2 linked regions of the Nothobranchius furzeri genome follow. The protein of the gene in region 1 purifies or fractionates together with the protein of each later gene. This does not show direct contact. Links are inferred from orthologs where the notes say so. Each region holds a gene or a part of one and is shown on either strand. Other genes may lie near its edges.

Region 1 (3,921 bases):
TTCTCGCTCCCAGAAGTCTAAATCTCGTTCACCCTCTCACAAGTCTCGTTCTCGTTCAGCTGACCGCAAATCTAAGTCTCGCTCTAAAAGTCGTTCCAAGGTAAAGTCTGAACGGGATTCCCGTAGTAGGTCGAAGGAAAGGTCCAGTGACAAGAAGTCCCGCAGCCGTTCAGTGTCCCCTGTTGAAAATGGAAAAGCAGAGCGTGCCACCAAGTCTGCGTCCCGCTCCCCATCACCACGAGATGGGGGTCGCCGGTCAAAGTCCAGGGAGAAGCGTTCCGCATCTCGTTCAGTGTCCCGCTCTAGGTCTCGCTCTCGGTCCAGATCAGCCTCTCAGGAATAGAGAAGGGGGGTGGTTTTCTTTTTTAAGCTTGGTTATCAAACTGTACATAGTGAGCTGTGTTGTGTAATTACTGGTCTATGCTTTGACTTCTTTTCTCCATGTATGCGTTTACCTTGCTGATTTGCTCTAGGCTTGTGTATCCTGGGCAGCCCTGTAGTGTTGAGATACGCCTCCTTAAATCATAAACAACAGTTCTGAAAACCTTTTGGGTCTTCCAGCCACAATCTGAGATGTCAGTTGTCCTGAGCTAAACATTTAGTCTTGTTTCAGGTGGTTCTTTTTCCCTACATCAGTTTACTTTCATTAAAAAGTGTTTTAGTGAAAACTTGTCTATGAATTTTGTGTTCCACAGCTCCCCCTTGATGTTTACCACACTTTTAAGCTTTCTCGTTTTGTTCATTAAACTAGAACTGATGTTTCATTCCCATTTATTAAACAAATTAGGTGGGTGGTATACATTTAGCCCCCAGCAAGTTTTTCTTTCTCAAGAATTTATTTAATCAGTATTTTTCAGAGGCTGTAGCTTATTTTCTCCACATATTTGCAATCAAAGTATTTCACCTCTGAGCGGCTTGCGTCACAGTTAAGTTATCCTTTATAACTTTCCATGAATGGGACATCCGACGACTTTTAAAAGATGACTTAAGGGTTTTTTTTGTTTGTTTCGTTTAAGTTTTGGTAGTTTTTTTTTTTTCTTCCAGCTCCTGGTTATTTTTGCTCCTTTAACCTGAGGTTTGTAGGGTCAAACTTTTGTATATTTGAAGAGTGCTCCTTGTACTTGAGGTGGAAGGAGGAATTTATTCAAATCAGGCTAGTTTGTCTGCAGTGTCATTGTCTTCTGCAACAGATTTCCTCCTATGATTGAGATTGGATAAAAAAAATTGTACGTTCAATTAAACGAGACTACAAAATGAGTGGTTTGGTGTCTGTTAATCAAGTCTATACTGTATTGCCATGACCTATATCCTGCTAATTATATAAGTGCTGTCATTGGGGTCTAATGGGGGGTGGGCTTGAACCGTGACTGGGATTCTAAATAGGAATAAATTATTTATGAACCATCAAAATAACTTAATAGCGTAATGATTTGCAAAAAGAAAATGTTTTGGCATTTAAAAATGTTCAGTGACTGTTGGCTGTGCGCATGCGCACTCAAAAGCCTCCGCGCCGCAGGAGATCAGAGCTGGTAAGACAATTTTCAGTTCATGGGAAAATCTAAAAACGCGAATTTTCTCTTCCTACATCACTTTTATACAATAATCTGAGAGAAGGATTCTTGCCATGCGGCTTTTTGCGTTTAAATGTACACACATTTTATTCTAAGACAACATTTCCCAGCGGATGTATTCAGCCACAAAGCTTTTTGATCTTTAGATGCCATTTCGTTTAAGACGTGATTATTTTGCGTTGACAAGTGTTAAATTTAGATGACCGCGCTGCGTGTTTGACTACCAGAATAAGCAACTCGCTCCACGGTTAGAATAAAGCTCCTTCACCAGAGACGATGGCGGAATTCATAACGAGGTTAAATGCTTTACTGAGGCGCTTCCACATGGACAGAAAGATTGCTTTTACACATTTTTATTATGGCCTCTTAGATTTCAGATCCTCCGCCATTTTCACTAAAATGCTATATTTTTGTGCGTGCGTGTGTTGAAAGGCTTGCGCGTAAATATTGGTGTGTCACCATTGTTGCCTGCTTTCATTGGAGGTAATGGATGGTTGTTGGAAAGTCACTTTGACGCTGATGTTTTGCTTTAAAAAAATCAAAAGTGCGGCTGTAAAACTGTAATTAAATCTCTGTAAATATAATTTGTTATATTCCATTTAAACTACAATGATGCTCTCCCTACTGTCATTGTTTTCACATTTGGTTTCTTAGCACAAAGTAATAACAGGGATCACAGTATGAGTGCCAAAGTGAACATGGAGGCTCCATCCAAAGACCCAGACTGCACCCCCATTGACCCATCCGCCTCATCCACCACTGAGACCATCCTCATCTGCAGCAGTGACAGCTTGGCCAAGAAGCCTCGGCCCCAGATGCACAACACCACAACCCTCCTGCTGCCAGGTGAGCTTAGGTCTGAGACTCAAGGGAAAACCATGACATGAGAAAGAGAAGTGTCTAAGCTCATCTAATGATTGGCCAGTGTAATATTCTGAAGCTGGGTCTACAAATTAAAAAGCAGCAAAAACAGAAGAAAAAAAAACGAACACTTTTCCAGGTCTGTGAACTCACCATCAATTCACCCTAGCAACAAGCCTTTTTTGTAGAGGTTTTTTTTCTGGCCAGAATAATAACTTTCAAGTTTATTTTAGCATCTTAAAGGAATTCTATGCTGTTGATTGTAAATCTTTGAGAAATCATACCACAAATTAGTATCGGCTTTCAGAACCAGAGTCAGTGCATCCCAAATATAAATGCCCTTCCTCTTCTCTGATCTGCTTTAAATGATGGTTTAAAACTCTGATAATAAACAATTTAATATACTTTATAATCATTGCTACTTAAAATGATCTTGACAACTCGTTTCATATATATGATTGTTCTCAACCCCAGCTGATTTATCCTTTGATTTAGTTTCAAATGCGTAAACAAGATTGCACAAAAAGTTGATTTTATTTTAGACTAATGAGTTGGGGTGTTGATGTGTTGCTTTCAGCAGCTCCCGGCCACCAGAAAGTGGAGGTGACCCCGGCCGTTGCCGTGGGAAACCCGGGTAAAGGCAGCAGACCAAACGAGTTGGCTACATCCACTTTGACGGCGCAGGTAGGCGGGGCTTGTAGCATTGTCCACGTCCTGGAGTGGAAGGAGGGAATGGCCATCCTGCCCAGTAGCAACCTTAAGGTACGAGCACACCTCTGATCTGATGAAGGAGGTTATAATCAGGTCACAGACACATTCTCATTTAGAATGTTTACTAAAGTGCTTTTAGAGGTTATTTAGAAGTTAGAACATTGTAGAAATTCATAGAGTCATGTTTGTTTCTGTCTGTGTGTAGTTTTGTGTGAGTGACGTAGGAACTCTGAGCACCCTGATAACCTCAGGGACCACCAGCAGCGCCATTGACCCAACGGCAGGGACTTCTGGGAAATCCACTGATCCAGAAAATGCTCCAGACAGGCCAAGTGAGAGTCATGTTTTTGGAAGGTTGCAGTAGCTCCAGGGAACAAGGACAATGCATGCATGTAGCTTAAATACTCATCACACACACACATTAAAAGGTATTTTATAATGCAATTACACTTGTGTTTTATTGTTTTGAAAGAAAATCGAGGACGTTGGGTTTTGCGGGTGTCCTCTTAGTGTGATTTGCTTTAAATTTGAGGAATTTTCCACTTTTTGGTGATCCACAAAAAGTGCAGATGAGTGGTCCTCACGTCAGCTGCATCATTTTAAATACATCCAACACTGGGAGGAAGTAAAAGTCTCATAAATCTGATTGACAGATGTGTTTGCTCCTGCTGGGACCGTGAGAGCTGCGTTGGTGGAACCAGAAAAGTTGATACTGGTCAAACCTGAAGTTCAGGTCGGATCAGATCAGCAGAACCATGATCCCAGAACACAGAGGAGC
Region 2 (3,821 bases), on another chromosome or scaffold:
CATTCAGCATGCATATTCAACTCAGCGTGATAGATTGTATTTCAAAAAGTACAAGTCTTATACGCATCTCAGTGAACAAGATGTTTAAATTTACAATAAAAAAATACTCTTAATAATTTGACACTCAGATTAGTTTCATGGCACCAATGAAGCTGCAAAAGCAATTGTACAGAACAAGCGAGCTTCAAATGCGAACGCTGCAACGAACACTCTCCCCTCCTGTCGGCTGGCATCCCTGCAGCACGTCCGCCAGAACCAAAAACCCAACTTGACAGAGGAAATGGGAGAGCGCTACACACCAGTCACTGTTTTCTAGGTCCAAACGTCTTTTGTTGACCGTGACTTCAATTGGTGGTTTTCTTTTTAGTTTGTCCTTAAGTTGAAGCTGTGGCAGCCGGCTGTTTCTCTAATACTATTGAGCCGTGAACCTCCCACGTGTGGTGTTCTGATGCAAAATGCACAAGCGCCTAATGAGTGGAGGCCCCAGATGGTTTGGTGAGACAGACAACCGGATGGTCCAGTGGTTGGGTTTGGTCCGAGCTTTGTTATCGGTGGAGATTTTTAGACAAATGCGAGAGAAAAACTTAATTATTACAATTTTTTTTTTCAATCGCCACAAAATATTTATAGACGTATTATGTTAGAGCGTTGTTTCGAGGCATGAAAAAAAAACCGTTTTAAGCTAGCTTGTTTTCCAAATTAGCCATTGTAGCTTTGAGGCAACTTCTGATGAGTTATATGCTGAAAACTTAGCTTCTATAACTAAATCACTGATGTCATGAACTGCTACAGCTGTGTTGGTGATGTCGTTCTGTTTCCCTCCATGTTTGATCAGAAAATGTGATGTTTTTCTCAGCCAAGCTGAAGACTACATTACAGCTGGAGCCTGTATGGCATTAGGGTTACGCTTTGCCGGCTCCGCCAATTCTGATGCCTTCGACTGCCTTTATGAGTTTGCCAGGACCTTCATGAAGATGATGCCCTTTGCTGGTACAGCTGCTGTGAGTGCTGTACGTGCGTCCCCCCCCCCCCCCCCCCCCCCATCTTCCTTAACTAACTCTAAAAGTTATGAAGATATGTGAATCGTTTTATCTGTTGAGATGTTTACATGTCTTGCTCTTCTCTGTCACGTGTTATAGTCCCTCCAGCAGATGGGTTATTACAACCTGCAAACATGTCTGTCAATGATTCTGCTGGCTATGTCCATGGTGATGGCAGGCACGGGAAACCTGAAGGTCCTGCAGCTCTGTCGCTTCTTTCACAAGAGAACGGGCGGCGAGATGAACTATGGCTTCCACATGGCTCATCACATGGCTCTGGGTCTGCTCTTTCTGGGAGGTGGCAGGTAAGAAAACATTTGTACATGGACAGGGTGTTTTTTTCAACATCAGAAGAAAATACATGCTACCCAGACTTTCCACTGGGTGCGTAAGCAGCGCAAAACGTAGTAGAGACCCTATTTTCTTTACCACAAAGACACAAATTGGCAGCTAGAGCGTTCTGCACTGCCAGCCCTGCAAGGTCACAAAATCACCGGAGAATCACAAGTTCACATGATAAGCAAGGAGAAAGATGGCAGCATGTATCCAAAAGTCTGTGGTTTATTTTTTGTTCTTTTTGCCTCTGCTACAGGTTTTACTGGAAAGGATGTACTTAAAAAAAAAATATATATATATATATATATATATATATATATATATATTTATATATATATTACTAATTAAGCAACTGGAAATCTGCTGGGGTCTCATTCATCAAACATTGCGTAGAATCCTTACTAAAGCCGCACTTAAGCTTAGCAAAAGAAATTTACTTACGCCAAGTAGGTTTGTGATCTATCAAACATGGAGTACGCACAGCTGCACGCAATCTCCGCTTCATAAATCAGAAACTATCTAGAAAGGTTCTCAGCTGCTTTTTAGTCACATCCCGCCCTCACCACGCCCACTTACTGCCATGAATAGTCAATGCAAAGTGGCGTGTGAATCTCATGCATGTACATAAGCCGGCTGTTGCAGCGCTCCGCCAATGACATGCCGACCGTAGATCAAGGCAGATCAAGGAAGCGCAATTTCACAAGCAGAAATTGAGGTACTTGTGGGTGAGGTGGAGAAATGAAAGGAAGTGCTTTTGCAAAACAAATAAGAGAAAATCCACAGAGTGGCACAACGTTGCTAAAGCCGTCAATGCTGTGAATTCTTCAGAGAGATCTGTGGCGGATGTAAAAAATGGTCCAACCGGGATTCGATCCCCAGACTCTCGGGTGAAAGTCATGTGTGCTAACCAGTCAGCCAAACGGAGATCTCCCTTGTCCAACTAGCCAGGGCACATGATCAATCGGGTCACAGTGACAGGACACACACTGTCACAGACGCATGTCATTCTGTCTCAATCTGTCCCCCTGCTGATATTCTGCATTCTGGCTTCAGGCTGTGTGTGTGTGTGTGTGTGTGTGTGTGGGGGGGGGGGGGGGGGGGGGGGGGGTCTTGTTCTGTGTGAAAACGAAGCAGTACAAGTGATAAAGCTGCAGGATTTCATAATTTTATCCTTCTCAGCAACAGCACTGCAGGTGCTCTCCATGTCCAAAATGTGTGTAAGCCAGGTCCTTAGTCAACTTAAAGTTGCGCACATTTTTCTGCAAAGTTTTCTTTCATAAATCCCAAAGTTAGCGTGGAAAGTTGCTTACACAGTTTTCAGATGCCGTTTTGTGCGTAAGCAAGCTTGATAAATTAGGCCCCTGGTCTTTTACTTAGGAATTTGCTGGTTTTACACAACTTTTGTGTTTGATTTCTTGTCTGGCCAAATCAAAAGTGTTTGCTTGACTCATCCTGGAAGTGTAGTGTGTAAAATAAATAAATAAATAAATAAATTCACGAATCATAAATGTTGCATAGCGATGCAACAATTCCCCTCTAGGACGCATCCAAGATGTCCGATTGTGCCCGGTTGAAACACACCCGCTGACTACAGCAACAGCTATCTGCTACGTTTTATGTAACAAATACACATCCAGTGGAAAGCCGGGGTTAGGTTTTGGAAACACAAGCTGCTTTTATTCACTTTTCTTCTTGACTTTATTGAGGAATCTTCTAACATTTTGTGATTTCACATAACTTACACCTCAGTGTTAATTGAACTTACGGATGCATTTGTTGGTTAAGTCACCTCACCTGCTCCAGGTTTTGTTTCATCTTGTTCTTTCTATAAATTCCACAAGATGCTCAGTTGACTTTTCCTCGTCCGAGGCAAACCTTTATTGAACACTTAATCAGACATGTGTGTCTATCTCTCACCCTCCGGTGTTACACTCTCTAGACTCCGGGCGGAACACACGGTTAAGAGCAATTCTCATTGCTACAGGTTTGTTCTTCTTAAACCCAAATGAAAACACTTTTAGTGTCTTAATCTTTTTGGAAGCAGACTACATGTACACTCACATCATTTGACTGCTGCATGTACGCGCGCACACACACACGCACACGAGTCTTTGAGTGTGGTGTTGTACATACCATTATCTACAGACTCTAACTAGATCCTCAGCTTCCTGCCCTTGACCTATTATCAGCTAAACGACTCGGTTTCTCTAATGTGACATTACACACGTGTCACCAGCTGTAGCAATAATTAAACTGACCTTTTGATTTCATTCACACATTGTAATATTTTAAATTTGCCAGCCTATGACCCGCACTGCTGCAGTGACTGTAGCTTTGGATAAGCATCAAAATGAGTATTTTTAGAAGTGGTTCTTTTGCAGAGGTCACCCTGCAGAGGAGTCATGTCGTCATCGTCCTTTTTGTTCAGTCTCTCCCTCTGCTTGT

The links.
Region 2: the proteins of l3mbtl1 (region 1) and anapc1 purify together in Homo sapiens (affinity purification with mass spectrometry; 4 studies listed by BioGRID and IntAct, counting the BioPlex papers as one, with this or other methods). This does not show direct contact. The link is inferred for Nothobranchius furzeri from reciprocal best matches to the Homo sapiens genes L3MBTL1 and ANAPC1.

Annotation. Positions count from the first base shown.
Region 1 is NC_091755.1:32,903,861-32,907,781, forward strand, and holds the start of l3mbtl1 (lethal(3)malignant brain tumor-like protein 1), read left to right. Parts: upstream 1-1,367; 5' UTR 1,368-1,529; intron 1,530-1,535; exon of another isoform or gene 1,536-2,054; intron 2,055-2,225; 5' UTR 2,226-2,251; coding exon 2,252-2,417; intron 2,418-3,009; coding exon 3,010-3,194; intron 3,195-3,348; coding exon 3,349-3,475; intron 3,476-3,796; coding exon 3,797-3,921. Other genes in the region: srsf6a (serine and arginine rich splicing factor 6a), read left to right, coding at 1-343. UniProt on the Homo sapiens protein: Polycomb group (PcG) protein that specifically recognizes and binds mono- and dimethyllysine residues on target proteins, thereby acting as a 'reader' of a network of post-translational modifications.
Region 2 is NC_091752.1:26,818,936-26,822,756, forward strand, and holds part of anapc1 (anaphase-promoting complex subunit 1), read left to right. Parts: intron 1-835; coding exon 836-1,010; intron 1,011-1,139; coding exon 1,140-1,345; intron 1,346-3,821. UniProt on the Homo sapiens protein: Component of the anaphase promoting complex/cyclosome (APC/C), a cell cycle-regulated E3 ubiquitin ligase that controls progression through mitosis and the G1 phase of the cell cycle.